Alligator mississippiensis: one gene and its partners. The protein of the gene in region 1 purifies or fractionates together with the protein of each later gene. This does not show direct contact. Links are inferred from orthologs where the notes say so. Each region holds a gene or a part of one and is shown in the gene's direction. Other genes may lie near its edges.

Region 1 (7,509 bases):
GAAGGGCCCTTACTGCCTCATTTCCAGTTCAGAGCAGGTAAAGTGTAAGTGGGTAGGAGGGGCTTATTTTTTGGCAGCAGGTTTGAGTGGCTTGAAGCTAGTGAAGATGTACCCACAATTAGTCACTGACCAGAGTGGGAACATAGGTGTCCTCACTTATTAACATAGCTCCAAGGCCCTACACTGTCTCTGCCTACATGTTGTTCTCATGTCCTCTTGCTTTCCTAAATCTCATGAGAGTAGAGGATTCTCATCATGCCTCCTGGACTGCTGTCACCGGATAGCTGTCCTGGTTCTAAGGTTGTGCTTCTGACTCTCTCATGGCCTCTTTTAGGGTGCACACTTAGAACTCTGGCTTTCCCTTCCTGCCCATTTTGCTGAATTGTGATTATTTCCACGAGGCATGAATTTAGTTCAGTGGATATGATTCTGCTTTCTCATACAGAGGCAATGACTCTCACAAAGTATGGCATATTTTAGTAGGATAAAAACATTTTGAAGGGCACACAGAAAGCAATAAGCAGTCTTTACTCACATGAGCTTACCAGGTATCAATCACCTGCTACTTGGGTTCGTGGCAGGTACAGACACAAGTGTATTAGCACGTTGTTCCAAAGTAAGTCTCTGTGCCATAGCCTACATCAGGTCTCAGATCTAGGGAGCCTGACCCCTCCCCAGCCATAGGCTTGTCACATTATACTAATCTGCTGGCAGGTGCAGACCTGGCTGGGCTCTTCCCATCCCCAGCAGCACATGGGAAGCCAGCTTCAGCTGCATGCCACTTTTCCTGGCCGGTGCTTACCCGGCTGGGTCCCTTCCATCTGGAGAAGCATGCAGCTGAAGCCTGCTTGCCATGAGCTACTGGGGACGGGAGGAGCCCAGCCGGGTCTGCACCAGCCAGCAGAAGTGGCGGCGGAGCCGTGTGCTGCTCGGGACAGGACGAGTCCGGCCAGAGCAGCAGGGGCTGAGCTGCATTTTCCCCCTGCCTGCGCTGGTGAGTCCCGAGCGGCACATGGCTCCGCTGCCACTTCTGCTTGCTGGTGCCGAACAACCGGGCTTCTCCCTACCCCAGCGGCACATGGGAAGCTGGCTTCAGCTGCATGCTGCTCCAGATGGAACGAACCCGTCCGGGTCGGCACCAGCCAGCAGAGGCGGCGGCAGAGCTGTGTGCCACTTCGGACTGACCGGCGCAGGCAGGGGGAAAGTGCACCTGAGCCCCTGCTGCTCCAGCCGGGCTCTTTCAGTCCCCAGAGGCACATGGCTACTCCTCTTCCCACATGCGCCGTGTCGGGAGCGTCAAGCTGACGCGGTGTGTGTGGGAACCTTGTCCCTTCCCAAGCCCTTCAGCAGCCATTAGGAAGCTGCTGAGGGGCTGGGGGAGGAACAAGGGGTGGGAACAAAAGTAAACTGTGTTTACCTTCATTTCTCATTGCAGCATTGCGGGCCACAGAAAACGTCTTGGCGGGCTGCATGTTGGGCCGCGGGCCATATGTTGGACAAGCCTGCTCTAAAGGAACAAATAGGCCTGTGTCACACAGGGGCAGAGAGTGAATGCTGAAAGGGAGAGTGAACTGGGTATGACCAGGGTTTTTTCCATTGTTCCTCTCTCACTTTCAGCCTCCAGCATTTATGGGAGTTAGGGAAGTTTTAATTCAGAGGCTGTATTCCCTACTGATGCCTCTTTCAACAGCTATTGATGCCCCTTTCCTCCAAGAATTGCCCCATCCCTTGTTGAATTTGTTTAAACTGTCAGCTTCCACAGTATCTGGTAGCAGCTAGTTCCATGCTTGAATTACATGCCATGTGAAAAATAACTTCCTTTTGTTAGTTTTAAACTTACTACCTACTAGTTTCATTTTATGGTTCTAGTATAGAGAGAGTTGGTAAATAATAAATCTTTATTTACTTTCTCTTCACCATTTAATATTTTGTAAACCCTTCTAATGTCCCCTTATAGGTGTCTGTTTTCTAATCTGAATAGGCCTAGACTCTTTAGTCTCCTTCCTCATATGAATGCCTCTCCATACCACTAATCAATCTTGTTGCTCTTCTCTGTACCTTCTCTAGTTCTTCTAAATCCTTTTCTGAGGTGTGGGGACCAAAACTGGGCACAGTACTGAAGGTGCAGATGCACCACTGATTTATAGAGGGGTATAACAATACTTACTATTTTGTTTACAGTTCCATTCTTAATTCAAAGGCATTTTGTTTGCCTTTGTAATGGCTGTTGAGCACTGAGATTATGTTTTTAGTGAACTGTCCACAATGACTCCAGAACTTTTTCCTTTGTAGTAACAGCTAATGTAGAGCCCATCATAGTGTAGGTATAGTTTGGGTTATTTTTGCCCATGTACATAACTTTACAGTTATCTACACTGAATTGCATCCGCCATACACACACATATACTGTAACTGTATAAATATTGTATTTGATAATGGTATCTAAGATTCTGAAGCGAAGAATAGCAAATATCGTAGGAAGATCCCACTTGAGGTAGGTTCCAAAGATGATGCCAAAGCTAGTTATTCTTTGTTTTTGGTAAGCTGTTTTGGTTGCATATCACTTAAGTGTTAAACTTTTCAATTCATGACTACTATGAGCAATGAAGCCAGCTCTCACTGTAAGTGCTGTGATTCATCAAACCCTGGATTTCTCTCAGTATGATGAGTATACCACAAGCTTGGAGGTAAGTGCTGTAGATGTTCCAAATTCCAGGCTGTTCAGGCTCTAGTCTTTGATAGGTACCTAAAAACAATTGCATACTTTAAATGAGGGATGGGATTCCTTTACTAAAATTCCTAGAACTAAAAAGTGCTTAAGTAGATAGAGGTAGTTAGCTGTGTTAGTTTGAAGTCAGTCAGAAGGCAGGGCAAGGTGGCACCTCAGAGACTAACTTGTTCTCTTAGTCTCGAGGTGCTACCCTGTTCTGCCTTCCATCAAAAAATGGCAGCTATTATAGCTGCCTTTGTCCAAAATTGAAACAAGAATCAAAACAGTTCAACAGCCCAATACAGGGATATAGAAGTAAGAGTCCAGTGTAACCCCTCTTCACTAGCTTTTTGCCTAAAAACTATAGTTCTGTGTACTTTTTGCTGATATCCTACCCCTGCAACCATAGCATCATAAACCAGCTTTCAGGCCACCATTTGCAGCCAGCTCCCAGACTGCTGTGCCAACTCTTCATCACCTGCAGTTTATTCTGCTCTTTCCTACACACTGGAGGGGGTGTGGAGTCCACTGTATCTCAAACTGGGATTTAAAACAATGCCAAGTAATAATTTGGTAGGTTCATTGCAGTGTTATAACTGATGATGAATCAATACACAACACGAATGTCTGCATTATTTCTTCACTAAAAGGGGTAAAGCCTTAGGGCCTTTCAATTGGGGAACTAAAAAATATAGTTTATTGGCAGATAGCTACACAAGATTTACCTATAGAAGAGGGAGGATGCAAATGTGGTTTTATTTTTAAACCCATTCTTAAAAAACAGTGCGAGTCAATGAACTTTCTGAAGGGACATAGTTGTTAAAATGGTTCTAGTCCTGCAACTGTCTCTGCATGGAGCCCCACTGTGAAATCAGTACGTCAGTGTGGGCATTGGACACTGGTTGTATAGACAGTTACAATCAACTGTTTTAAAAATGATTTTATTTAAAAAACAAGTCTTGGTAAGAGGGGCTGCTGTTTTCTATTGCCACCAATCCCTGCACGACCTCGGACAAGTTGCTTAACCTTGCTGTGTCTCCCTTCACCGCATTTGTAAAATGGGGATACTATTTACCTCTCTCACAGAGGTGTTAATATTTAGCTCTCCAACCACTTTGAAGCTTCAGAGCACCCTACACACATTAAATAATTAAGGGAGGCTTCATTAATGCTTGAAGTTTCTCCGAGTAGAAGCGGTCTGTGGGGCCAGCTATTCTCTGACAAAGGACCCCTTTGTAGGAGGGAGACCTTTCAACTCTCCTGCCTTTATGCAGGAAGGTGTGTCGCAGCTTAGCCCATCTGCTGAGGAAAGGAAGGACTAGGCTTCCCTCGGGTAGGGACACCTGGCATGTGCACCAGCCCTAACAGCTGAAGCCTTCTGTCGCGCCGAGGTTGCCCTGGAGTGCAAAGGAGGGGGAGGGGGAGGGGGAGGGGGAGGCATTCATCTTTCCATCCTCTCTGCACACAAGCACGGGTGACCCTTTGAGGGGAGGGGGAGCCGCTTCCCCTGCCTACGAAAGCCTGAGCTTTGGTGGTGAGGGGCAGTCAGCAAGGGGGGGGGGAGGATACATTAACTGCTCCCCTTGTGAGAGAGGGCTCCGGCACCCGGGGGGGGAGCAGGGGTGGCCCGGGGGGTGGGGGGCGGCAGAGAGCACCGGCTGCAGGGTGTGCGGCTGGGATGACTCCTTCTTCCCGAAGAGGGGGCAGGGCAGGCACGGGTGGGTGCTGGAGGAAGGCCCCGGAGAGAGGGGCGAGTCCCCTTCCCCCCGGGACAGCGGGGCAGGGCTTCGAGCCGAGCCAGTGACTCGGCTTTTTTCCTCCCTCGCCCTACCCCCTCCTGCCTCGGCAGAAGGAGGCCGAGGAGGCGGGGGAGGAAGACGCGAAGGGAAGGGAGAGGGCAGGCGGAGAGAGGAGGCGGCAGACAGAGGCGGCAGGCGCACAAGATGGCCCCTGCTGCAGAGGCAGCGGGGCGGAGGCAGGAGGCGGTGGCCCGGCGGCCCCTGCTGCTGGAGGCGGTGGGCGCTGCGGCCGCCTCCGTGCCCCGGGGCTGAGCGGAGCCGCCGCCGCTGCTGCTGCTGCGGGGAGCCCGGCCCGGCCCGTGCGGTGAGTGTGGCCGCGGGGTCTGCGGGGCTGGGCGGGGAACAAAGGGGCGGAGGCGGCCTGGTCCTGGCCGGGCCCGGCCGGCGTGTGCGCGGGGCGACGGGCCCCTCCCCGAGCGGCGGCCCCAGGGGGCTGCGGCGGGCGTGAGGGCCGTGCCCCTGCTCGCCTCTCTAGGCCGCAGGCTTCGGCCGGCCTCGATTTCAAGGTTCCCCCGGCGGGGAGGGGGAGGGCGCGGCCCGGTGCCCTTGGCCGCGCGGGTGGGGGGCCGCTTGTGTCTTCCCGTGTCGGGGGGCGGACAGGGGGCGCCTCCTGCCGCCGCCAGCGGACGGGGAACAGCTTTGTCCGCCCCCGTCCTCCCCGCCCGGGCTGGGCCCTGCAGATGGCGCACAAAGAGGGGTGCGTAGCGCCGCGCTGCCGCTCTCGGACCGGTCTCTCAACCCCGGGGCCGCCCTTGGCTCTGGGGGAGCCGCACGAACAATAGCGCGACACAGACCCCAAAGCTGTAGGGCCGGGGCCCCGGGGGCCGTGCGATGTGGAGCCGGCACCCCGCGGTGCGCTGCGGGCAGGGCCCATCGCCTCGCTGGCCCGCGGAGTGCTGCGGCCTGCCAAAGCCTGGAAGGAGAAGTGGGACAGCTTCCTCCAAACTGGCCGTGTATTTCGTTTTCTCCTTGCCGCTTCCTTCTCCCCAGCTGCGGTTTGAAAGAGAGAACGTGCAGATACACCCACGGCTGTATTTATCAGTAACTGATATGGGGCCCTGGCGCTGTCGAGCACGCTTACTTCCCGCAGGTAGAAGGCAGCTTCCATGATTTTCCCGGAGCTGAGAAGGGCTGGGCAATCCCAGTGCACAAAGGGGTCCGCGTTGAAATTTCTGCTTGAACCGAACTCTAGCAGTGGTACCACTGTAAAACGCTGTAAAATGTGTAAAACTTAACCACTGTAAAACGTGGAGTCTTGGGGTTCCCCCCCCTTTGTTTTACATGGGGATGCAGTAACGAAGGAGGCTGCCCTGTTGGCCTTTTTTTTTTTTCAGGCAGTAACACCTTTTTATGTTAGGCTGTCTTCCTGGTGATGACTCTGAAGCCTGTGTGCGGCTACTTTTTTATTAATAGATAATTGAAATACATAAAGTCTGCCATGCTGAAGGGTTGGCGGTATTTCTCATTCATCAGTTAAATCAGCTTAGTAATTAGCAATAGCTAATTTGAACATTAATGCAAACTGTACACATAGTTGCCATTTTTTGGAGCTGGGTGGATTGAGGTTAGACTCTCCTCTCTTTCCTTGAAGTTGCCCTTGCTTATTTTTGCTGTCCTAGAAAAGGTCTCTTCCCAGTAGACATGTTGGCATGTTATTTTGAGGGAAGTTGTACTGCTGCTACCAGAACACTCTTGTTGCACATACAACTCTAGTCTCTGTCTGTCAAACCTTTTGAGCAGTGTTGTAATTCATGGGGAAGCAAGTTGTCTGTCTTTTTCTTTTTGCCAGCCTCATACCAAATCCAGGTTAATATAAAACAGCATGCAATAGATATTAGGCTTGAAGCTGGTCTGGCTTGATAGTAACTGTAAGGTCCGATGCTTATTTGAATTTCATGAAATGAGATGATGGCCTCAATACAGTTCTAAATAGTCAAGTGTCTGCATTACTGAAAAATTTAACCACAAACTGAAAAATTTAACAGAGAGTTAAGGACTCATTATACATAGACATTTATTATCTAAATGTGGCCACTTGAGCACAGAAGTGAATTAACTCTGACAAGACAGTTTGAGGAAGCTGCAGTTGCCTTTGTTTTCCATTTAGATGAAGGGTAAACCGTTCCACCTGATGATTTTTCTCATAACTCTCACAGTGTATATTTTAATGTGTGTACACATTCACGATTTTAATTAATTGCTTTATTGTCAGTGTTTGGAAAGAACAGGGAAACAATGGCAGAAATCAAAAACTTCACTGGCCTGGCCTTTTGGACTATGTCCAATTCCATATATACCAGAAAAGTACAGCTAGATTAACAGGCTAGTAGCGTTAAGATTCATTATCTTATGCTTCACCATTATTTAAGAGGAGTGCTATGTGCCATTTAAAAAAACAGGAATTTTTTTTTTCTCTCCCATAAAACTGCTCCTAGTAGGAGCCAGTGCTACACCCTGAAAAGCTTGAATGTCCAGCTTTTGAATATAAGGGATGAAGCTGAATTTTTTTTTTAAAGAATGTTTGAAGTTGGGCTTTCAAATAAGTGGCCCAACTTCTCAAAAGCGCTAATCACAGCAGATTCCCCTGGACAGTTTTAGCACTTTTTTTTTTAATGTTGACCCCTTTCTCAAGTAATGAATGAAATATTGTAATTAAAATAGGAGAGGAACAAACAAAGTAATCAGAATAGCGTGATTTTTTTTTTTAAACTTCTTGTATTTGTGGTATTCTATATTTTAGTGGATAGATGTCTTAACCTGTAAAAGTTTAAATTTGCTGCTCTTGGACCGCTGATTAAGAAGAAAGACTTTTTAAATCCAAACACTTTACAAAAAAATAACTCTATTGTGTCTTTAAATACACATATAAAAATAGCTAAAATATGTACAGAAATTCAGCAAGTAACCCAGTGTCAGCCAATGATAACTCTTCTACCAAAATAATTCTCACTTTCCACCCCCTCTAACCACTCTTCAGGAAAACATTGAGTCAGCATATAG
Region 2 (7,790 bases), on another chromosome or scaffold:
AGTCCTTTGAAGTTTATTTCTTTAGGCCAATTTAGAGGATTAAAAATAAAACACAATTTTTCCAAGTCACCAGTGAAACATCAAGTTAGCTTCTCCTTTCGAGGCTTGTGTCCTAAGCAACGGGAGGTCATTTTATACGTTACTTCTATAAAATGTGAAAGGACTGTTGCTCCTTACAGTTTGTGTAGGGCCTAAAGTTAATTATCAGCTGCAAAATCGGTTTCACTAAACATTAAGCTGCCACTGTTCCTTGTATTGTGTTGCAAGTCACTCGATCTGTGTGGGCCACCTGGCACAGATCTCCTGGTAGTTCAAGCTCCTCAACGATCTAACAAGAAAAATACGTAAATGTGGGTGTTCGAATTCTGGTAGGAGAAGTCCCACCATCTACATATTTAAAAAAGGGGAAAAAAACCAGCTGTGTTTGATTCATAAATTTCCAACTACATTCTGTGCAAGTAAAACTTTAACCCTGCTAGATCTTCAGGGCAGAGGCTGTGTCTTTGGTACATTGCTCAGCATGAAAGGGCCTGGGATTTGGCGGCACTTTTGTATTATGAATATTAAAAATGGCGTATATTTGAATTGCAAAGCCAAGCACTCGGAAGTTGGGAAGTGCCAATGTCAGGGGTGCCTGTGCAACCTCAGTCTAGCCCTCTTATCCACATGCACTAGGCGGAAGTCTTTAATAATGGGGCCATGCACTTCTTTTCCCCCCACAGGTGCCAAGCCTCCTTCAGAGTACAGCATGGATGTAATGCAGTTAGTCAAGATAGGGTTGTTATTAGGTTATGATCCCTGAGCCACCCTTCTTTCCCCTAACGCCAGACTGTCCCTGCCCCACTCCTGTTCTCTTTCTATTGCCTCCATATCTCGCCCCATCAGCCTAGTCCCATCTTGTCTTCTGCCCTGGTTGTCACACCTCTGCATTCAAGTCAAACCTCCTTTGTCTCCACGAGGCTTAGACAGTAGTGCTGCCGAGTCCTGAAAGATGGAATTTGCCAGGCATGCCTCAAAAAGTTGCTTGACACTCCTAGGCAGACCTTCCAGTCAAAATGTTCCCAGTCATCACACCCAGCAAACAGATACAGGAGCCTTGACACAACAGTTTGTTGCTAGGATCTCCCCAAAGCTGCTAGATCCCATGAGTAAATTGCCAGATTGGTAAGACCATGGGACACCATGGAGGAGTTTGAAAAGGGGAAGCTCTCCGTGCTGTCAGCGCTGTTTTCCAGCACCGCCACAAGCCGGGATGGACAGGAGCAGCAGAGGCAGGAGCAAGTCCTATGAGCACCTTCAGCCCCCAACTGAAGCATGCTCCAAACATGCAATGCTCAGAAATTTAGGCCGGACTCTAACAAACTGAATATACACAATGGTAATCTTCAGAGACTTGTAAATCAACTGGATTTGGGTGGATTTGCACAGCAAAAGCACCGCCTTAGCCCTTTCCCAACAGGCTCCCCCGCCCCACAACACAGACACGCATCGAGTTTCACATCCCCTGCTCCAGAGTGTTTCTACAATTTATTAACAACGCCAGCATGAACATTTTGTAACACTGGCAAAACGTCTTTTCCCATAACATTGTTCTCAGAAGTGGCAGAACTATTTTTGATGAAACTTTCTACAAATGTAGCACGAGGCAGACACCGGCCAGAACAACGTCAGTCTGAACAGTTAAAGTTTGGCAACACTAAAGCCAAGCCATGAAAAGCCATGAAAAGTTGTAGGGAATCTTAACGGCAGATGCTGTCACTAGCTCCGTCTGTAATACTAACACGTTTCAGATTAGGTCCTCGGAGAGGCCAAACAGTATAGGGTACAACCCAGCAACTTCAAACAATGATAATGGAGGTTTCAATATTTATAAATAGAATTTTAAACAGCCTCAAGCAGAGAAACACAAGCATGTTCTCTGTTTATATACTTGACTATTTACATTCATTTATAAGTATATTGATAGATACTTTAAGTATATTTAAGTATAGTGTAAGTATATTTATATATACTTGACTATTTATAAAAGTCTGATATGTAAAAGAAACTCTGCTTCATCTACAGTCACTATTGCAATTTAAAGCTGGGCTAATGTAATTTCAAGCTAATTGAGTCAAATATCTCTTTTTGCACTCCCATGTTTGGGGAATTGTGTTGTTATTTTTATTTCTTTATGGATTTGTTCACTGTCCCAGAAGCCCGTGGTGCTGGGCACCGAACATAAGCCCTGTCCCAAGGCACTTCCATTCAAAGTATAAACCAGGAGGCTTTTTTCTCCCGGGAAGAGATGCCTTCACCCCGCTGTACAATTACACAATGCAGTGTAAATTCTGATCAGAGCCTGGACCCAAGTTGGCACAGCTGACAAGCACTAGCTCTAGGTTGGAACAGCATGGGCATTCGTTGGCACAGCTGTGAGGGGAAGCACACCAGGGCTGTCCTGCGAGATGAATGGGCCTCCAACTAGTCTTGGTGCCAGATTCAGCCTGACTGCTTTGTGTACTACAGTGGTGAATAGGCCCATAACCAAGTACAGATCTTCTGCACGTTGTGTCACTTCGATCTCAGTCATTCAGAGTTCCCTCCTACCTTCCCTGTCTAAAATGTCTAAAATAATCTGCTGCTTTGAGATGCACTTTACTCTGGAAAGTTTCTTGTAAGCATAAGGAGTCAGCATCGTGGTACCATGTTACCCCCCCAAAATCCCAATTCACTTTCTTCAGCATAAAGCACTGATTTACTTTCTCTGTCTAATAGGTGAGCGAGGTCCTCATGTTCTCCAGTGGAACAGAACCAGGACTGGGGGGAGAGGAGGAATCACTCGCTTTAGAGCCACTTCAGAAAAAACATCAGACACTCACAGCGTGGAGCAGAGAATTGACTGCATGCAGATTCGCTGCAGAATGAAAATTTATGCCAACGAAATACATTTCATATTCAAAACCACAGTGTGTGCGGACAACGCTCATTTTTTCCTTATTCATATAGGTATTAATGAGTGATGAATGCATTGTTGCAGAGGGCAATGAACATGGTTGGGGGCTGGGGGACAGGACTGGTGAGGAGAGGCTGAGGGAACTGGGTTTATTTAGTCTGGAAAAGAGAAGACCGAGGGGGATTGACTAGCAGCCTTCACCTCCCTGCAGGGGGGCTGCAAAGAGGCTGGAGCTGGACTGGTCTCAGTGGGGGCAGACGGCAGGACAAGGAGCAATGGGCTCAGGTTGCAGCAAGGGGAGTCGAGGTTGGATATCAGGATACACTTTCTCACTAGGAGAGTGGTGAAGCACTGGAACAGGTCACCCAGAGAGGTGGTGGTGTCTCCATCTTTGGAGGTTTTTAAGACCTGGGTAGACAAAGCCTTGTCTGGGATGATGTATTTGGGGCCAGTCCTGCTTGGAGCAGGGGCTCGGACTAGATGCGACCTGCTGAGCTCCCTTCAACCCTCATTTTCTATGATTGTAATTCTAAGGTATTGCTTCTCTTTATTTCCCACTTTTCCACCCCAAGTTTTCCGTTGTATCAGAGTGAAGAGAGGCATGGTGGCTTTGGTGGTTAGAGGCAGGTAGCAGGCTCCCTGAGTGCTTTGGTGCTGCATTCTCTGTCTCCAGTGGAGCTGTGTCTGACTGAACCGGCTTTCTTTCCTTCGCACGCCGCTGGAGGAGCTCTAGAGTCAGCCGGAGCGCTCTAGCTTCTCCAGCCTCCTCCTCTGGTGGAACAACTGCGGAGTTTGATTTGACTCTGGAGTCTGCACTGCTAGGACTGGAAGCAGTCTTTTCCCACCGGAGTAACCCCTTGGCTAAATCACATTCAGTTTGATATTTTTTAGTCATTTAAGCTATATTCTGCCTGGACCAGGCACCCCTCAACCTCACCAACTTCAGTGCAGTTATGTGGACAGTGAAGCAGGCTTGGGATCCTCTACGTTCAACCCCTCGCCTCCTCTCATGTGATCCCGCAGAGAAACCACGACCTGAATTAGTTGGTGATATGCATTTCCAGGATGTCAGATGGTGAAGCTGCCAGACAGGGTTGCGGAAGACTTCTCCGTGGATGGATGGAGGGAGAGGTGTCCTTCAACCCCCCAAACAGCTAGGGGAGCGGAGTAAGTGGCTGGCTGCACAGTGATGTGGGTGGGAGGCATTTGCTCCGCTCAGCTCAGGCCCATTATCAGCACCTAAACCTGCACTCTTGGTACCTAAACCGCAGTTCCTTATGGTGGCACCTCCTCGGGGGGCAGATAGGACCAGCACCCACCTCCCCAGTCCCTGCTCCCCTGCGCAAAGACAGGAAAAGCTCGTTTCGACTCGCCAGGGAGGAGCTCGTTTCGGCTGGACAAGGGGGGTCATCTTAGACTGGACAAGGGGGGGTCTCGTTCAGACAAGCTCATCTTAGACCCGTGCGAGGACAGGGCTCCTGGTGACTCTGCCCTGAGACTGGATGCGGGGCTCGCTTAGCCTAGCCGAGGCCGGGCTCGTGGTAGACTGGAGCGGGGCTAGTGCGAGGCTTGTTGATGTCACAAGGTCCTAGAGAGGAGAAGGGGGAGCTCGTCTTGGACTGGAGGAGAGGGCGGTGCGCGCCTGAGGCAGGAGCCCCCCCGGCCAGCTGCTCCTCGACGCGGCGGGGGCTGCGGGCGGGGGAGGGGGCCGTGCCGGGGCCTCCACGTGCGCGGGGGGCGGGGCGCGCGGCGGGCGGGGGGCGTGGCCGGGGCGCGGGGCGGGGCGCTTCCTGATTGCCGCGCGGCGCTGTCAGTCGGGCCGAGCCGAGCCGAGCCGAGCCGAGCGCCGCCGCCCGGGCCCGCACCGCCCGCCCGCCCGCCCCGCACCGCCGCGCCGCGCCGCGCCCATGGAGGAGCAGCCCGGGCAGGCGCCGCCCGCCGCGCACCCGCACCCGCACCCGCACCACTACTACTACTACAACCACCACCACCACCCGCACCCGCACCCGCCGCACGACGCCAAGGCCGGGCCCAAGAAGCACCACGCCGGCCCAACGCCCAAGCGACCAGGTACCGGGGCAGCCGCCCCCCGCCCCGCGCCCCGCGCCCGCTGCCCGCCCGCCCGCCGGGGAGGGAGGCGGAGGAGGAGGCGGCGGCGGCGGCGGCGGCGGCGGAGGAGGCTTCCCGGCGCTCGCGGGCCGCTTCCTGTCCGCCATGTTGGGAGCCGGCCCGGCCGGGCCTAGCGGGGCCTGCTCCCGCCCGCCCGCCCAACCCGGCGCCTGCCCCGCACCGCCCCGCCCCGCCCCGCACCGGGGGCGGCGTCCCACCCCACAAACCCCCCAAATCCCCCCAACCACCCCCCCCCCACACACACACACACACACACGCTGCCCCAAACACAGCCCCGTGGGTCTGGCCTCGCGCCTCAGGCCGGGCCGCTGCCCCCCGCCCAGCCCAGCCCCGCGCCCCTTCCTCCGGCCGCGTGTCTCCTGACGTTTGTGTTCGCAGGTTGGCCCGCGAGGCTGTACAGGACCTGGTACATCTCGGAGATAGATGTCAAAGGGCCGCAAACCTGCAAGCTAGCGAGCGCTGCGCAGTCCTCCGGAGGTGGGCATGCCGTCGGCGCCGCGGCCGGGCCCCGCGCGCGTGGGTGCGGGCGGGGACCGCGCTCCGCAATACGTCGGGCTTTCCTTTCCCCCCCAAAAAAAGAAAAACGCGGAGTTGCGAGCGCGTTCGCTCGGCTCTCTTCGCCCGCGTGTCCGACCCGGGCGGTCGGAGGCGCCGTGTCCGACCCGTCCCAGAGCGAGACCGTGGGCTCCGGAGAATATTTTTATGCAGCCGAGTTGTAAACGCTTGAAAATTGGAAGTGCTGACCCACGGGCTTCGGGCAACCCAAACCGAATCTATTGCAATCTCTCCGGCTCCCCGAGCTCGGGGGACTCGGGGCCGCGCGCTCTGGGTGTCGCTTCGTTAAAGAAATCCCAGCCCGACTCCCGAGGAGGCTCGCTGCCTCCTTATCTCCTCGGCCAGTTCCAGCAGCCTACGCTGATTTAGGTCGAAGCGTTGAATTAACGCTACTGTTAATTAGCATTATTACTAATAGCAACGTGTAGGGGGGGAAGTGGTGGTGGTAGATGTTCGCCTGATTAAAAAAACCCTTTTCTCCCCCGTTTGGCGAGCTGAGCCCTGGCACTCCTGTCGGTCTCGCCAGGTTTCGGCGCTGCTTGCGACGGGAGCGCTTGAGTGCTCGGCATGGGAGGCCCTTCTCTACTGAGTGACCTCTATTTTTATTTTTTAAAACCAAAGGAATATCTTTGTTTCGAGCAGGAGTTTTCGCCATGGGCACGTGCGAGACCTGGGGCCTGACTCGTGTTTGCATTCTGCTGGCTTTACCCCGGTGAATCGGGCCTCGGGTACTTTCACGGTGGCGAGGGTGTTGGAGCCGCCTCGCTCCCGAGAAGCGTGACCAGCGCTCGGGTCGAGGCTCCGGACACGCCGGGACATGGGTGGGTGAAGGGGGCTCTGGTCCCACTCCCACTCGGAGTGGGCTGGGCTAGCTGGCAGGAGAGGGATCCTTCATGGCGCTCTGGCTCTTTGCAGATAGCCCGGCATCGTTTGTTCTCCGGTTGCGTTTGCCATCTCCTCTGCGCAGCCACGAGGACGAGCCGCCTACCTTCAAAGAAACAAAAGCGGGATATTCTGATGTAATCCCTTGATTTGGCCGGCTGGGGCCACGGGCCGGGGTCAAGACAGTGTTTTCCCTGGGTGTTCTTGTCATTCTGCTTTTTTTGGAGTGGGCGGGCAGACAGGGATGGGAAGGCCAGTGGAAAGGATTCCCGCAGCAGTGTTGTCACCTTCTCGGAGCTAAGCACCTCACCTTGAGAAGCGTAGGTGGGAGCCGTGCCTGTTGCTGTCGGCTCTGTTCTGAAATGGAGCCAGGGAATGTTCCAAGGGAGAAGCCTCCGAATGGCTTGCTAAGATGCATCTGGGAGGTAGATGTAGGGTTTAGCCAGAGGCTGGGAAGCAGAGCCGGGGCATGGGCTGGGCCAGAAAATACATTTTGAGGAGCAATTACGAAGGTGGAACTTCTCGAGTGCATCATTTGGCAGTGAAGTGGAGAACACCCTGTCCATCACGGGGGCCTCTGCAGGAGTTTTGCATAGTAATCAGGGTGGGGAACCACTTGCCTTAAGCATCCTTCAGCTTAAGAAGCATTACCTTAATTCTTTTTTAATAGGGGAGTATAGGACCTTCTTCTTTCCCAAACATAGCGAGCCTGTGGGCTTTGGTTCTCATTGGCTGATTCCAACCCGGAGGTGTCTGTCACTGATGTTTGTGCACTGACCTCTGTGGCAGTCCTTCTCCCTAGGCACATGGCAGGCCGTGGAGGGGATCGGAGTGAGGAAAAGTTGGCCTTTTGTTCATAGGATCCATGCTACATCTTCAGAAATAGGCCTGGTGCAGAGGTGGATAGTTCCTCTCTGCAGCTGTAGTTTCTTGGGAATGTTTTAAAATTTGCAGGCTCCAACAGTCTAGAGCAGGGTTGTTGCAGTCTCCACCATGGTGATTATTTTTTTTCTAGATGTATCCTCCTTCCTTGATATCGCTACAGCGCTTTGCTTGATTCTTACTTTTGTAAAAAGCCCAGAGATGCACTGTGTGTCTGTGCGCTAGAGTCAATGGAGTAAGGTTCCCTTCTCGTGGTGGCTTTCTGGCTTGCTGCCTTGCACTGAGGCAAAGCCGAACCCTTTACTGTGGCTTTTAAGTGGCAGGGACACGCTTCCGCTATACGAAGGGCAGACATTTTTCTATTTTAAAAAACCTGTTTGAGGAAGCCGGGTCTGTTTAGGGCTTA
Region 3 (7,162 bases), about 94 Mb from region 1:
AGCTAGAATCTCCAAAGCTTCTTAGTTGTTAAAATCCTCCATCTACTTTTCATGGATGATTGACTTAAAACCAACTTTATTTCTTTATTCTCACAGGGTTGAGGCTAAAACATTTTACTTCTGGTTAGAAACTTGTGAGGCCAACTTGACCATAGAGAAATTCAGTGAAACAAGGGTTTATCTTAGGAACCAGTTTAGCCGTAGTTACTGTGTTACTAGAAGCGATGCTATAATCACTATGTCAGATTGCTTATTCTTTGTGAAAATGATTGGCACAGTCTCTTTCAGTTCAGACATTGCAGAAATGCGTGTGGCATGGATGAACCTTCATTGCATGGGATGATAACTGTGTTTGCATGTGGTGAAGTAGCTTTTTAGATATTAAACTCTTCATGAGGGGGAAAATCAATGCCCAGTACTTAAGATACTAAGAAAGATGTGGTTATTACTGTAACCAGTTGGCTCAAAGAGAAGTCTTACCTGATAGTCACCCATTGAGCTCGAATCCTCAACATCTTGAGTGTCTCTCTTGACTTGCTGCTTGTCGCCACTGCATACTGGCTGTTACCTATAGGTGAACCATCTGAAGGAATGGTGGCTTTCTTTCTGTACCTCTTTGTCTGCTTGGGGAACTCTGGCAGCATGGGACAAATTATGACAAGATTTAATGATCTTGTAAAGGACACATTTTCCCTGCTGGGTGCACAAAATAACTTGGTCTGTTTGTTGGAAATGGAGGATTATAATAACTAAGAAGTTTTGGAGAGTTCGGCTTCATTTGCTTAAAGAACGAGCTCCAGTGGTTGGACCAGGTCAGTGGGTGGTCCAAGCTTTGAACCAGATATGTTACATTATTTTGCTGGCCAATGGTGGCTTTGTCTGGCAGAGCAGAGAAGAGGTGTGGCAATGGATGCAAATTTATTTTGGATAAGAAATTATCCTGCTCAGTACTGATAAAAAATAATTTCCAATTGGAAGGGATGTAAAAATAGGGTTAAAAAGAAAGGTTGGGGTGGCAAATGGATACCTTTCGCATTGAAGTTGTAGCTGTTAGCTGTGGAGGAAATAGATTCTGATGCATCTCTTAACCTGAGTGGATGGCAAATGAGCAGGCGAGTCTGTGGCCTGTTTAGGCTAGGTGAGTCTTCAGGGAATCCAATCTCTAATGTAATATCAGGGGAAAGGTTTCTGTTGCATGAGGTTACATCTAAGAAGTTTTTGCTTTGATATCAAAGCTGTCTGGAGCTCAGGTTGGTCTTCTGCAGATACTTTAGTTTGTTGTGTGTTTAAAAAAAGTACTGCTTCCAGAAATGAGCTGAAATAAGTAGGAGAAATGGATCGAGGTTATGGAATGATTCAGTGGAGGACAGTTGACGTTGACTTTTCTAATTTAGATATTGTAGTGAGCAGAGTTTAGCGGTATCTGGGTCTTCCCAACAATGCAAGCTGTAAGGCTGCTGAAATGAGTTGAATAATTTCTTGATTTCTTCAATCAAGCCCAATAAAGAGGTGTTATATCCTAAGACTTCAGAGGATTACTAGGATGTTCCACAAATAGTCTAGTCACTGCCAGGGCTGCCTGCTCTTTAAGGGTATATATATTTAAAAAACACGTTCTCCTAAACCTAATCTTCTAAGTTGTTCTTGTTAACTACTTCCTAGAGAATTATTTTGCCATTAGTACAAATAAGAAGTTTTAGAATACAAAAAGGACAACCAACTATTCACTGTGTCCACAAGGGAAAAAGCCAAAAATGATGGGCTGAAGTTGCAACATGGGAGGCTTTAGGTTGGACGTTAGGAGGAACTGTCTAACTATGTGGTTGGATAAGTACAGCAACAGATTACTTTGAGAAGTTGTGGAATATCCATCACTGGAGGTTCTTAAATGCAGGTTATTTTGTTTTTCTGGTTTAGCTTCTGAGATAATTTGAGCAGGCAGTTGGATTAAATCACCTTCCAGCCTTGTTCTTCTTTGATTTATAGAATACTAACTTTCTGGCTTTTACTTGACAATCTTGTCATGCAATGTTGAGAGAATGAAGTGGGCATGCCTAATTTGGGGAAAAGAGATTAAGGGGACATGATGGCGGGTTTCAAATATTTGAAAGGTGACCATAAATGAGAACACCTGTACTCTTTTACCACAGATGACAGAATGCAAAGCAGTGGGTTTAAATTGCAGTAAAGAAAATTGAAATTAAATCTCCAGTAAAAAAACTTCCTAACTCTAAGAACTATAGAAAATGAAGCAAGCCACCTGAGAAAGATGTAGACTATCCTTCATTGGAGGTTTTCAAGAAGAAGCTGGATGGGTATCTGTATTGGAAGGTTTAGTAATACTGCATCCTATAGCTTCACAGGGGGATTGGACTAGATCAGCGGTGTCCAACCTTTTTGAATGTGGGGCCGGATTGTGAACGTTTTATCACCCAGTGGGCAGGCGAGCCAGATTCAAAGATCTTGCAGGAAGCGGTATCACATCACCTCCCCCCTGTGCGCCCCCCCCCCCCCCCCCCCAACAAAAGTACACTGTTTACTTTTGTTTCCTGTCACAGCACCTCGGGCCTCAGAAAACGGCTTGGAGGGCCGCATAGCGGGCCGTATGTTGGACAAGCCTGGACTAGATGAAACTTGAGATCCCTTCCAACTCTATGATTCTGTCTAATTTCTGTACTGTGAGCATGTGTGGTGGTTGGAAAGAAACTGTAGAAACTCTTTCAAGCTTCCTTGACTCATTTGTTGAATGGATGGTAGGACTAGCTAAGGGCTTTGGCAGATGCAGGGTTTTAGGTCTAATGCAGGGGTGCTCAACCAGATCCAACCAGCAGTGTCATGTCATTTGGTCCACACTGCTTCCTGTGTTTCTGGAAATTTGGCAGTGAGGGATCTGTGGCACCACTCCCTGCCAAATTTCCAGACCCATGGAGAGCCCTAGTCCTGCGTGCTGTATTGGGCACCTGATCCCAACACACAGGGCTGGGAAAAGGTGGCACAGGGCCCCAGGGAGGCTGGCAGGGATGTGGAACCCTAGGGCCCAGTCCTGGTACATGGGGGCCTGGAAGGGACAGCCTTAAGGCCTGATCCTAGCAGAAGAGGGTGGCACCATGTCCCAGGGTCTAATCCAGCCCCACACTGCTCATCCCGCCTGTGGGGCCAAAACTTGAGCACCACTCATGAAAGGTAAATCTAAAAAATATTACATTGAGTAGAATTCCAAGATCCCCCAGGTATTTAACTAGTCTCTTTCCTGTGTAATCTTCAGAATTGTGGCTGGTACTTAAGGTGATCTTATCATAAACTTTGTTTTTTATCTGAAGAGTTTTCTCTGTTGTGACTTTCACAGTTGGCCTCAGCTCTGGTGAGTTTCTAGTTTTTGAATTGTGGGCTCAAATTTTAAGTTAGAAATAAGATGATGTTATTGAAATGTGTCCTTCTATGTTGTAGAATCATAGAGAAGTAAGCCTGGAAGGGACCTCCAGAGGTCATCTAATCCAACCCCCTGCCTGAGGCAGGTTGGTTATCCTTATCCAAACTGTCCCATACAAACCATAATCTAAACTCTACGCAAGTCAGCCCTGAAATAATATAGACCTAACACCGTAAATTGCCACAAGTAAAGCAGGGAAGCCATTGCAGTCAGTGTCCTGCTTCTGTGAAATGTTATCAACATATGCTCAAGAGATGCCAGATAGAGGGTCAGGGTCATGCCCCTTGCTACAGAGGAAGGCAACAACCCCCATAGTTTGTAACAGTGTGACCATGGGGTAAAATTCCTTCCTGACCCCAATTCTGGCAAATTGGTCTGACCCTCGGTGAACGGACAAGGCCCTCTAGCCAGGAACCTCTGGCAGGTTCCAGCAGGAGCACTGGCACACCCCAGTCAATTAACGTGCATATACATTGGTGAACAAAAAATATTAAATATGTAACCTTAAATAGTGTCTATCTTCCTACCCATGCGATACCTTCTATCGTCCCAGCAAATGATGTACATTCATGCTAAATGTTAGCTACTGAAGATCTGTAACAGACAACCTATTCCAAACGATTTAACACTTAAGAGATACCAACCAATGAATATTTGTTTTCATCCATTTTCAGTTTAAAAGTTAACCCCTTCTAAGTTAATAATGCAAAATCTGAAATATATTTCCTGAATAGGAAAACCTATTTGAGAATAGTTCTGTGAGATGAATTTTACATTCTTTTTGGGGTTCTGATTGTATATTCAGTGCATAGCAGTGGAGCGTTTTGCTTCTATTTTTAGTCATCTTTAGCATGTACATTTGCTACATTTCTTAACATTAAGGGAACTTAGCAACTGGGGGACAAGTAGTAGCATACAGATTAAATTAGGTAGCTATGCGGAATGAGAGAGATTCCTACAATAGTTTTTACCAGCTACTGGTATCAAAATGTAAGTAAACAAAATGTACTTTTTACAATGTAAAAAAATTCTCCAGATATTTTGGGGGGAGCAACTCAAACTCCAAAGTTGTTGTACTCTCCAAATTGAATTTAGCAAAGATAGTGTTGTAGTTATGTGTAAAGGTGCCCTAAGTATTAACAAATGGATTTTGAGGGAGGGAGGAATGAAATATGTAATAAAGATACTGAATTATTTTTATTAAATTTAATTGCACATATGATGAAAGCTATCTATTTTCTCTAACCCTTTTAATTTTACAGATCAGGGAACTGAGAAACATGAAGGAGCCACTACTACTTCTGGAATTTCTGATCAGGAAAAGGAGTTGTCAAATAATGCACTACAGGCTTTTGTGGTAAGAAAAGTCTTCAGTTTAAAGATTTCTCTTATATAATTTTGTTCAACATTTACCTGTTTATTCCCATATTTCCTAGAATATTAGGACATGTACTGAGATACTAATTTTGTTTTACTTTCTAACAGCAGCATTATGAAATAATGACCATCACTTATATGAACTTTGATATCTGTTGTCAGACAATAAGAAGAAATAGAGCCCTTAGATTTAGGGTTACCTAAACAGAGAAATGCAAGCACGTTTTTGGTTTTTTTTTCTTGGTTCCCAGAGTTCAGTCATGAGCTTGGCAAAGTAAGCTTATATACGTAGTCCTGGAAACACTCAGACAGCAAGCTTTTTAATTGAATCTTTTACTCCATAGTTTGTGGGTGCACATTTCTTATTCTCTATCTCGTTTTGTGTAAGCCATTATTTTTTGGGTCATGTAGATTATCTAAATAATTTGAAATGTGTTATCTTTCATCCTCCTTGTCCATTTTGTATTATCATAAGTCAGCACTGCACAATATTTTTTCTAAGCTGTTAACATGAAATGAACAGATTTATTTGTAAGACTGGGGAATGATCAAAATATCATAACCCAGTATTAAATGTTTCCACATTCACCTGTCCTGTTTTTAATATCCCTTTTGCTCATTTGAGGCATGATCTTCACATGATGGGAAGGGGTCCTGAGGGGATACAGTGAAAGAATTTCTTACAATTATTCATACCTGAATTGACTTTGATCTCCTTTTAGTTTCATCTCCAGTTCTACAATTGGCCAAACGTACTTTGCTCATCTATGTGTGATAAGACTTTAACAATCCTCTAAGCACAAGAAAAGATAACGGGTTGTAAGGTAGTGATGAATGCAGACAAAATGAATCTAGACTCCTAGTTGTCAGTTTTCCTTTAGTATGGAGTTATGTCAGATAACCTTGTTAACAGTTTTGCCTTACTTCCAGCACTTTTTTTTCTCATTTACTGCACTTATTTTCAAGTTACTTGGTGTTGGCAGAGTGGAAGAGTAATGCAAAGTACAGTAGGAAGCAGTTAAATTAGACTTGATTTAATAAGTATTGTCCAAGGTGACCAGAACCTGTGAAGGGCTAAACCAGGGGTAGGCAACTCCTGGCACAGGTGCCAGAGCATGGCACATAAAGGCATTTTGCTTGGCTTGTGTGCCTTGGCATGGACAGTGGGGAAGGGAGCAGGGCTGTGCTGCCATAACAAGGATTGTGGGCCCCTTATGGCTCCCCCTCCACTTACCCCTGGCATGCCAACATCTTCCAAGTTAAGGTTAAAGGTGTTTTTGGCACTCTGCCCAAAAACATTACCAGTGCCTGGGTTTAGCAAGGCTTTAGATACGGTTTCCCGCAGCATTCTTGCAAGCAAGGTAAGGAAGTATGGGCTGGATAAATTGACTGTAAGGTGGATAGAAAATTGGCTGGAGCATTGGGCTCAGACAGTAGTAATCAATGGCTCGATGTCTAGCTGGCAGCTGGTATCAAGTGGAGCACCCCAGGGATTGGTCCTAGGGCTGGTTTTGTTCAACATCTTCGTAAACAACCTGGAAGATGACAAAGAGTGCACCCACCACAAATCTGCAGATGACATCGAGATGGGGGGAGTAATAATATGCTGAAGGGTAGGGCTAGGATTCAGAGTGATTTAAGCAAATTGGAAGATTGGGCCAAAAGAAATCTCATGATGTTCAACATGGGCAAGTGCAAAGTCCTGCACTTAGGATGGAACAATCCCATGTACTAGTACAGGCTGGGGGCTGACTGGCTGGGCAGCAGCTCTGCAGAAAAGGACCTGGGGGTTACAGAAGACAGTAAGCTGAATATGAGCTAACAGTGTGCCCTTGTTGCCAAAAAGGCTAACGGCTTACTGGACTCTTGGTAAATGTGTTGTCAGTAGGTCAAGAGAAGTGATTATTTCCCTCTGTTCAGCACTGGTAAGGCCACATCTGAAGTGCTGTGTTCAGTTTTGGGTCTCCACTACAGAAAGGATGTGGACAAATTGGAGAGAGTCTAGCAAAGGAACAACAATCTCAAGTTGCAGCAAGGGAAGTCTAGGTTAGATATTAGGAAGAATTTTCTCGCTAGGAGGGTAGTAAAACACTGGAACAGGTTAGCCAGAGAAGTGGTGGTAATTCCATCCTTGGAGGTTTTCAAAACCAAGCTAGATAAAGCTTTGGCTGGGTTGATCTAGTTGGGAATGGTCTTGCTTTGAGCAGGGGGTTGAACTAGATGACCTTGTGAGGTCCCTTCTAACCCTAATTTTCTAGGATTCTGATTAAACCATTCAACCTGAATTGGGACTAGGATCTGTGTGTCTGCAGCCTGAATTTAAAGGGATGCTTCTATCAATATCCTGGTTCAAGG
Region 4 (7,368 bases), on another chromosome or scaffold:
ATTATCCACCACAATCTGCATTTGTTTGCCATGCCTTATTTCAACTAGATTGTAAGGCCTTCATGGCATTTCCTATTGTGTTCCCGTATAGCACCTAAGTCAAACAAGTCTTTAAGCAGCAGTGTAACATAAGGAGTATGAAAAGCTGCTAAAATCCGGAAAGACAAGGTTCTTTAGGTAAACGTGATCTTATTAGACCACTAAATAGTTGGAAAAATTATTCTTCACAACCAATTATTTAGTTGGTCTAAAAAAAGATTATCACATTTACCTAAAGAACCTTGTCTGTCTATGCCTTTAGACCAACACGTCTACAGCCAACAACTCTACAGCATCTAGAAAGATTTTCTTCATTTCTTCTAGAAGTTGACTGCTTAATTCTCTGATGAATTTGAAACGGAAGATGAAAAAGGGCTGACACTTCTGCCAAAGCCTCATGTAAGAGGAACCACTATTGCAATGCATGTGTCACCTGACTGCTGAGAATTTAGTCACGTACATTTTAAATCACCACTGCAACAGCTTTCTGTCACTTGCGATAGATAAGGCGTTCAGCATTGTTTATCTGCATTTTTATATCAAAACGTTCACAGAACACATTGACAGCACAGGACAGAGTCTAGACAGCAAGCAGGTAACAAGGCTGATAAAAGGCTTAGAAAGCAAGTCACATGAGGAGAGGCTAGAGCTGGGCATGTTCAGTTTGTGGAAAAGGAGACATGACAGCAGCCTTCAAATAATCGAAGGACTGCCATAAAGAGGGAAAGCTTCTTTTTTCTCTTGTTGTAGAGAGGAGGGTGCAGACCCATGGCTTGAAGTTGCAGCAAAGTCAGTTTAGATTGGATCTCAGGATCTCACCACTACGCTGGGAAGGAGAGGATTACTGGAGGGTTCAAGGAAAGGCTGGATGTGCACTGGGTGGGAAGGATCTAGGTGCAGCGATGCCCGTGCTCTGCTGTGGGGGTGCTCCGGGCTGCGGGGCTTTGCTGGTTGCTCCCCCCCTCCCAAACTTTCTGCTGCATGTGTCAGTGGGTTTTTAAGCCTCCCTTCGTGGCACTGGGTGTTGGCTGCAACCCAGGCTGGAGATGGGGATTGGGCTGTGCCAGTGCACTTGCTAGGACTTCAAGCCTGACGTTCCCGCTTCCTGTCTCTCTCCCCCTCTCAGAGTCAGACCAACATCATATCTGGGGTGAACCTTCCTCTGTAGCAGGGGGATATGGTCTTCTTTCTGGGATCTCTTGAGCATATATTAATAACCTTTATAGAAGCAGGCTGCTAGCTGTCATAGTCCCCTTGCTTCACCCATGGCAGGTTTGGGTGTGACGCCTGGTGTTATGTCAGGGGTGACAATAGTTTTACAAAGAGTTTAGATCATGACTTGTACAGGATGGTTGGGATAGGGATGATCCTGCCTCAGGAAGTGGGTTGGACTAGATGACCTGGGAAGGCCCCTTCCAGTCCTACTTCTGCCCTCTATGATTTCTACAACAAGAAATTTAATCTTCCCATCAATTAAGCTAAAAATCTCTGCCAGCAGTGCAGTAGCTTGCTGCGCATCTAGGAAAACAGATGCAACAGGTACTTCCTGAACCAGTAAATCCTCCCAGTCCCTTCTAGGTACCACCACTGCCCAAGACTCATGAGGTCAGAAGGACCTTACCAAGTACACAGTAATACTTAAGGGAAGAACCACGCAGAATTACACTTTATCTTACATGGGTCCAGTCCATTACAGCAATTCCCAAGAGCTTTTAATGCTCTTTCCTTCAATTCTTTGTCTGTTTGGGATTTTTAGACAGTACGGGTTCTAAAGAGCTTACAATCTCCTCACGTAAGCTGGACAAAATGTACGTAGGGCACCACTGCATTAAAAATAATAAATTAAGAGAAACAAAAGGCAAATGAAAGGAGGAAAAATAAGGTTGACTATTGGAAGAGATTTCTCGACAGCAAGCACTCTCAAATCTCCAGAGAGAGATGGTGCAAGTCACACTGCTTGAAGCATTTAAAACTTAGTCAGGCCAACACTTTGAAGATGAGCCTCACATCAGTAAGCAGAAAGACTACCAGTAGATCCACACTGGAATTTTTCAGCATTTCAACTGGGAAAAGCACCAGAGTAGAAAAGGCCCCGAGGTCCCAGTAGACTTTCATCTCGATTGTGTAAGTGTATCAGGTGAAAGGGTTTGGATTTCCAACAAGCTGAGAGGCCAGGTGCTACACAGCTCTGTCTTCTTTTCGTGGTTTCTAGGTCTCATTTCTTCCCAATTAATGGTGCGCTCCCTGCCTGGTGTGGCAGTTCACCTACCAGAACACCTGAATAATTTACAGCAGGGTTAGACAAAAGGATTAGTGTGCTGGAAACGAGGAACAAGAAACAGTCTCAGAGGGAAGTCTGTGTGACACTTAATAGTCTCAGAGAGGACAGCTGGTCACAAAAGGGCACAATCTATGCACAACTCAGACAAAAAGCCTCGATAGTTGGTGTACCTGAAATGTCTTTGGAATTCCTCCAACATTGTAGTGAACCACTAGACTCACTTTGTTGTCCTTCTCCACTATTTCAAAGCTTCCTTCTTTCCATTTTGTAATCCCAGTCTGCATACTACGCATCCGGACGGGGCCGTGTACCTTCAGCGGAGCCATGTTGTCTTGCTATTAAACTTACAAGAGATTGCGTTGGCTCCACCTTGAAACCTGTCCAAGAGAGACGTACAATTGGCAAATAAAAATAGCTGTGGAAAGTGTAAAAAACATTTCTGGGAGGTACAGCAACAAACCGATTTCATGTTATTACCTCCAGATGCCTGCTGGACCAAAAAAACCCCAATTTTCAGAGCATTAATTATTTTACCCTCTGAAGATAAGCTGCACCAAAGGGTGTTGAATAGACACCAAAAAAAAATAACCTTGAAAAACCTCCGTGAAAACCCTACAGATTTTCCAAACAAGCCCGATTTTGGCTGAGACCAAATACGTCAAAAGAAAGTTTTCAAGGAAATCTATACCTGCAACTTCTGCAAAGTCCTGGTGAATTTACACAAGAAGCATTTTTTAGGGAGCACCTAACCTCTTTAAAAGACAAAAGTCACGCCGTCATCTACTCGTATTATCGTGACCCCGATCTCCTCTACCGGCTAACCCGCGCTGCGATCGGGATGACACCCAGCACCGCGGGATCCCCAGTGACGCAGGCGAGGAACAGAACGTGAAGAACGACGTCATTGTGCCGACAGTCCGTGACCTCACAGAGGGATGACCCGGACTGACCCGGCCCCGCGCTCGCTCCTGCCCAGGGCGCGGGCTCGGACTCGATGGTGTACTGGGGTCCCGTCCGACCCTAACAACTATGAAACCACGGAGAAAAAAGGGAACCGCTTCCCAAGGGAACCCACACGTAACCCCAAACGCAACCCGTACGATGCTATTCTGCGTTAAAACCCGAGCACGCCGACGGTGCCGTGACGCCAGGACGGCCGATCGGTTTAACGGAGCCGCCGGGCTCCAGAAACGTTTTATAAACGAGGGGGACCCTTTCGCTCTTGCTCATCGGTAGCGACCGACTCGCCTCGACGCCCTCGCAACGTGCCCGGTCCCGAACGCCGTCCGCCGCGGCTGCCCGGGAACAAGACACCATTGTTTAGCCGGTGTTAAAGGGGAGGGAGGGGGGCACGCACCCTCCCGCATTAAAGGGGAAAGGATGCTCTTGTATTAAAGGGGAGGGGGGCTGCACCCTCCCGCATTAAAGGGGAGGGGTGCACCCCCTCCAGCATTAAAGGGGGAAGGACCCTCTTGTATTAAAGGGGAGGGGGGTTGCACGCCCTCCAGCATTAAAGGGGAGGGGGTTGGGGGGCGCACTGTCCCCTAGCAAGCGTGGTGGCCGGCGGGGCGGGGCCGGGGTACGAGGGCCGCGGCCGGGCGGCGGTGAGGGAGCAGAAAGCGGAGCGGCAGACCGGGCAGGGAGCAGAGCAGTGAAGTGGGCAGGGGAAGGGGATCGGAGTGGCAGTCAGGGCGGATGAGGCCCATTTTAGAGGCGGGAGCACTGAGGCACGCAACAGGCAGGGCCTGCGTGTCCGTCCCCGAACGCACCGCCGCGGCCCCGTGTTTGCTGCTCCTCCCCGCAGGTCTGGGGGGGGGGACTCCCCACACCGGGGGGGCAGCTCCCCCCCGGGAGACACCCCGCTCCGTACCTGCGCGCGGCGGCGGCTCCTGAGGGGGCGGGGGGAGGGCTGAAGGCAAATGGCGGGAACCAGGCGACAGCGTGAGGCCGCACGCACGGCGTGCCGACGTCACCGCGCCGCCCCCAGCATGCCCCACGCGCGCTCACGCGCGCTGCCGCCGCCCGCCAGCCCCGCGCATGCGCATGGGGAGGGGTCAGAGGGCGCCGCGGGGGGAGGGCAGCGCGGCGCCATGGCGGCCTCCTGAGCGCGGCCCGAGCCCCGGCGGCGCCGCCATGCACAGCCTGGCCACGGCCGCGGTGAGCCCGCGCCGCCCTGCCCCGCGGGGGACCTCGCTGTCCTAGTACCGGGCGGGCGGGCGGGCCATGGTATTTTTTGTGGGGGCTGGCCGTAGTATTGGCGGGAGGACCTAGCAGCACTGTGGGGGGGTGGTCCATGGTGTTTTGGGGGGAGGGGGTCTGTCTGTGGTGTTTGGGGGGGTGGACCTGTAGTTTTGGGGGGAGGGGGGGCTGCCCGTGGTGTTTGGGGGGGCGGTCCCATAGTTTTGGGGGGAGGGGGGTCTGTCTGTGGTGTTTGGGGGGGCGGTTCTGTAGTTTTGGGGGGGAGGGGAGCTGTCTGTGGTGTTTGGGGGGCAGTCCTGTAGTTTTGGGGGGGGCTGGCCATGGTGTTTGGGGGCTGTCCCTTAGTTTTGAGGGGAGGGGGGGCTGGCCATGGTGTTTTGGGGGGAGGGGGGGCTGGCCATGGTGTTTGGGGGGCCATTCCCATAGTTTTGGGGGGGTGGTTGAGTCCACCTCCCTGCCTGAAGCAGGACCAGCCCTGTGCAAACCAGCCCAGACAAAGCGTCACCGAAAGTGTGTGTGAAACTCGTTGCAGTGCCAGGCCTCGCGGCCAGCCCTGCTCCGGGCAGAGCCGTGGGACCGCGGCTGCTGACCTCCTGCTCCTTTAACGGGTTGTTAACGTGCTCGGGAGATGCTGGGTGGAAGCCGTGCCCCCCCCCACCCCCCCGGTCTGTATTTAGAGGTGAGCGGCAGGCGGTTGCAGAGACGATGCCCTGTTGCGTCCGATGCTGCTTCCTCAAAGGCGTTGATCGGTCGCTGCGTACGAGACCCGCTGCCTTTTTGGATCAGTTTGTCTCTAAAGCAGCGATTCGGAGCCAGGTGCCGCAGCTCCTGGAGATCCTTTCGGGCCACGCAGCATTAGCGCTGTTTGGTGCGTGATCCTGATTCTCGAGATGAACCTGGAGATTTCAAAGAGGAATTCGTAGGCTTACAGCTACTCTGACGGACCTGCCGCGGGCTTTCTTTGCAGCCACAGAACCGCTCTGCTCTCTCTCTCTAGTCATAAATAGTGAGAAATAAGAGCTGGCATTTCCCAAGCATTTAAAAGGGTGAGACCTCCCCACCTTGCCCTGTCTTTTGCAGTACTGTTAGCAAGCACAGTGTCAATTATAGCAACTTTCACATCTTCCATATGTGTTAGAATATCACATTCAGATGGGATTTGCTGCTGTGGGTGTCAGTCAGTTGCTGAGCTAAATATTTAGGCTCAAAAGTGATGTTTGGTAGAGGACAAAACAGAAGTTTGGAGTTTAGTGCTCAGAACCATTGGCTGCAATCCCTACCGTGCTTTTCATCATATACGAGGGGCTGGTGGAGCTTCTTATTCTGTTTTCTAGTCTTCCCTCTGATGCAAAATCACTTTAAAGCAGCATTGATTAAAAAAAAACAAGCCAAAAACCCGCCTCTGGCTGCTACGAGGAGAGCAGGATATTGCAGTAGTTGATTTTAAATATTTGTAGTGGACGTGTGCTCTGGTCACAGCACCTGACAGAATTGTGTCCTCTTGAAGAGCTGCGCTGAAGGTACTCTAATACTGTACGTATATTGTATACTGTATATAGTATGCCTATATATCTGCTTTGGTTAGTCTGTGTGGTGCAAATTTACCCTTCTACTTGACTTTAGACCGACACGGGTAGCTACACCTTGATATTTTAATACTTTCAAGGGTACAGAGGCATAAATGGAGCCTAATTACACCCATCTCTGGAGGGAGCTAGTGGCTGCAACACATCCTGCTCTCCTCGAGGAAGGCCCTGGCTTAGTCCAGTGGGACTAAAGCGGGACAGTCTTATTTTAGGTTGAAAGAGCATTGCCTTTAGAAAGCTGCAGTAAGACAGTCCTGGCCTTTTATGTAGTGCCAGCATTTCGCTTTGAAAACTGAAAATAGCATAGCTCAGTACTGGGGGAGGTGTAGGGGGAGTAGAGATGAAAACAGCTAGCAAAGGGAAGCTTGAAGTAAAAGTAGGGGGTGTGAAAGCACCAAGCAAGCAGACCCAGGTTATTAACTAGAGAGATCGTTCTGGGGTTCTTGTGTTAATTATCTCACCAAAAATAGCTAGGACACAATATTGCCTGGCGGTGTGCCTTTCTCTAAGTGGTCAGTATTTTTAACTTGGATGTTTAGAAAGAGCTGCCTTTTTTATTTTCCCCTTAATTTCTTTTTTTCTTGTGGTTCCTAATTGTCTAAATGAATTTGTGTAACTCTCAGAGTTGTGGCTTGGCCCAAAAACCGGGGGAACACCTTTATTACTGCAAAAAGCGTCATGAGGCCTTTAACGCTCCAGAAGTGATCAGTCCTGGGTGTGGTAATGGATGTCCCAACTCTTGCATACTAAAGGTGCAACAGCAATCAGTCTGGGAAGATCCTAGATGCTCATCTGAATATTTGTGTGGAGTATTTGCATCTAACAATTGAAGTCCTCCCTGAATTTTAGGTAGAGAGTAGAAAAAATGTCTGGTAGTCTGGAAAGCAGCAGTTTGGGAATGTAAGAAATAACATTTCCTCGAGACTTTTAATTGAGTGTTTCAGGGACCGGTTAAATACGATGGGAGGCTGTAAAGCTCATGGAGACCAATTTGCTTCTAATTAACCAAGGTAGTGGACACCATGAACTTAATTGCCTGGAGAATGTATTTAGTATTCTCTGGAGATCTCTGGCCCAGGCTTACACTTCAAAAATTCAGCTTGAACTGAAACTTCCAGCAGGTCTGGCACAATTGGGCTGCACATTTGAGCTCAGCTAAAGGGCTTGCCGCTCAGTCATTCAAACCAAACTCTGCGGTGTTTGTAAGCCTCATTACTGGAGGTGCTAAGAGGATTAGTCTCCCAGCTCTTAACACAGAATGAA

What was found.
Region 2: the proteins of RC3H1 (region 1) and NUFIP2 purify together in Homo sapiens (affinity purification with mass spectrometry; 3 studies listed by BioGRID, with this or other methods). This does not show direct contact. The link is inferred for Alligator mississippiensis from reciprocal best matches to the Homo sapiens genes RC3H1 and NUFIP2.
Region 3: the proteins of RC3H1 (region 1) and CNOT10 purify together in Homo sapiens (affinity purification with mass spectrometry, with the first as the bait; 3 studies listed by BioGRID). This does not show direct contact. The link is inferred for Alligator mississippiensis from reciprocal best matches to the Homo sapiens genes RC3H1 and CNOT10.
Region 4: the proteins of RC3H1 (region 1) and CNOT9 purify together in Homo sapiens (affinity purification with mass spectrometry, with the first as the bait; 4 studies listed by BioGRID). This does not show direct contact. The link is inferred for Alligator mississippiensis from reciprocal best matches to the Homo sapiens genes RC3H1 and CNOT9.

The regions. Positions count from the first base shown.
Region 1 is NC_081828.1:48,049,079-48,056,587, reverse strand, and holds the start of RC3H1 (roquin-1), read left to right. Parts: upstream 1-4,495; 5' UTR 4,496-4,813; intron 4,814-7,509. UniProt on the Homo sapiens protein: Post-transcriptional repressor of mRNAs containing a conserved stem loop motif, called constitutive decay element (CDE), which is often located in the 3'-UTR, as in HMGXB3, ICOS, IER3, NFKBID, NFKBIZ, PPP1R10, TNF, TNFRSF4 and in many more mRNAs.
Region 2 is NC_081837.1:1,384,047-1,391,836, reverse strand, and holds the start of NUFIP2 (FMR1-interacting protein NUFIP2), read left to right. Parts: upstream 1-4,776; 5' UTR 4,777-4,842; coding exon 4,843-5,005; intron 5,006-5,443; coding exon 5,444-5,542; intron 5,543-7,790. UniProt on the Homo sapiens protein: Binds RNA.
Region 3 is NC_081828.1:142,098,256-142,105,417, reverse strand, and holds the start of CNOT10 (CCR4-NOT transcription complex subunit 10), read left to right. Parts: upstream 1-4,157; 5' UTR 4,158-4,365; coding exon 4,366-4,420; intron 4,421-4,692; coding exon 4,693-4,787; intron 4,788-7,162. UniProt on the Homo sapiens protein: Component of the CCR4-NOT complex which is one of the major cellular mRNA deadenylases and is linked to various cellular processes including bulk mRNA degradation, miRNA-mediated repression, translational repression during translational initiation and general transcription regulation.
Region 4 is NC_081827.1:253,766,859-253,774,226, forward strand, and holds the start of CNOT9 (CCR4-NOT transcription complex subunit 9), read left to right. Parts: upstream 1-4,367; 5' UTR 4,368-4,453; coding exon 4,454-4,477; intron 4,478-7,368. Other genes in the region: USP37 (ubiquitin carboxyl-terminal hydrolase 37), read right to left, coding at 2,491-2,646. UniProt on the Homo sapiens protein: Component of the CCR4-NOT complex which is one of the major cellular mRNA deadenylases and is linked to various cellular processes including bulk mRNA degradation, miRNA-mediated repression, translational repression during translational initiation and general transcription regulation.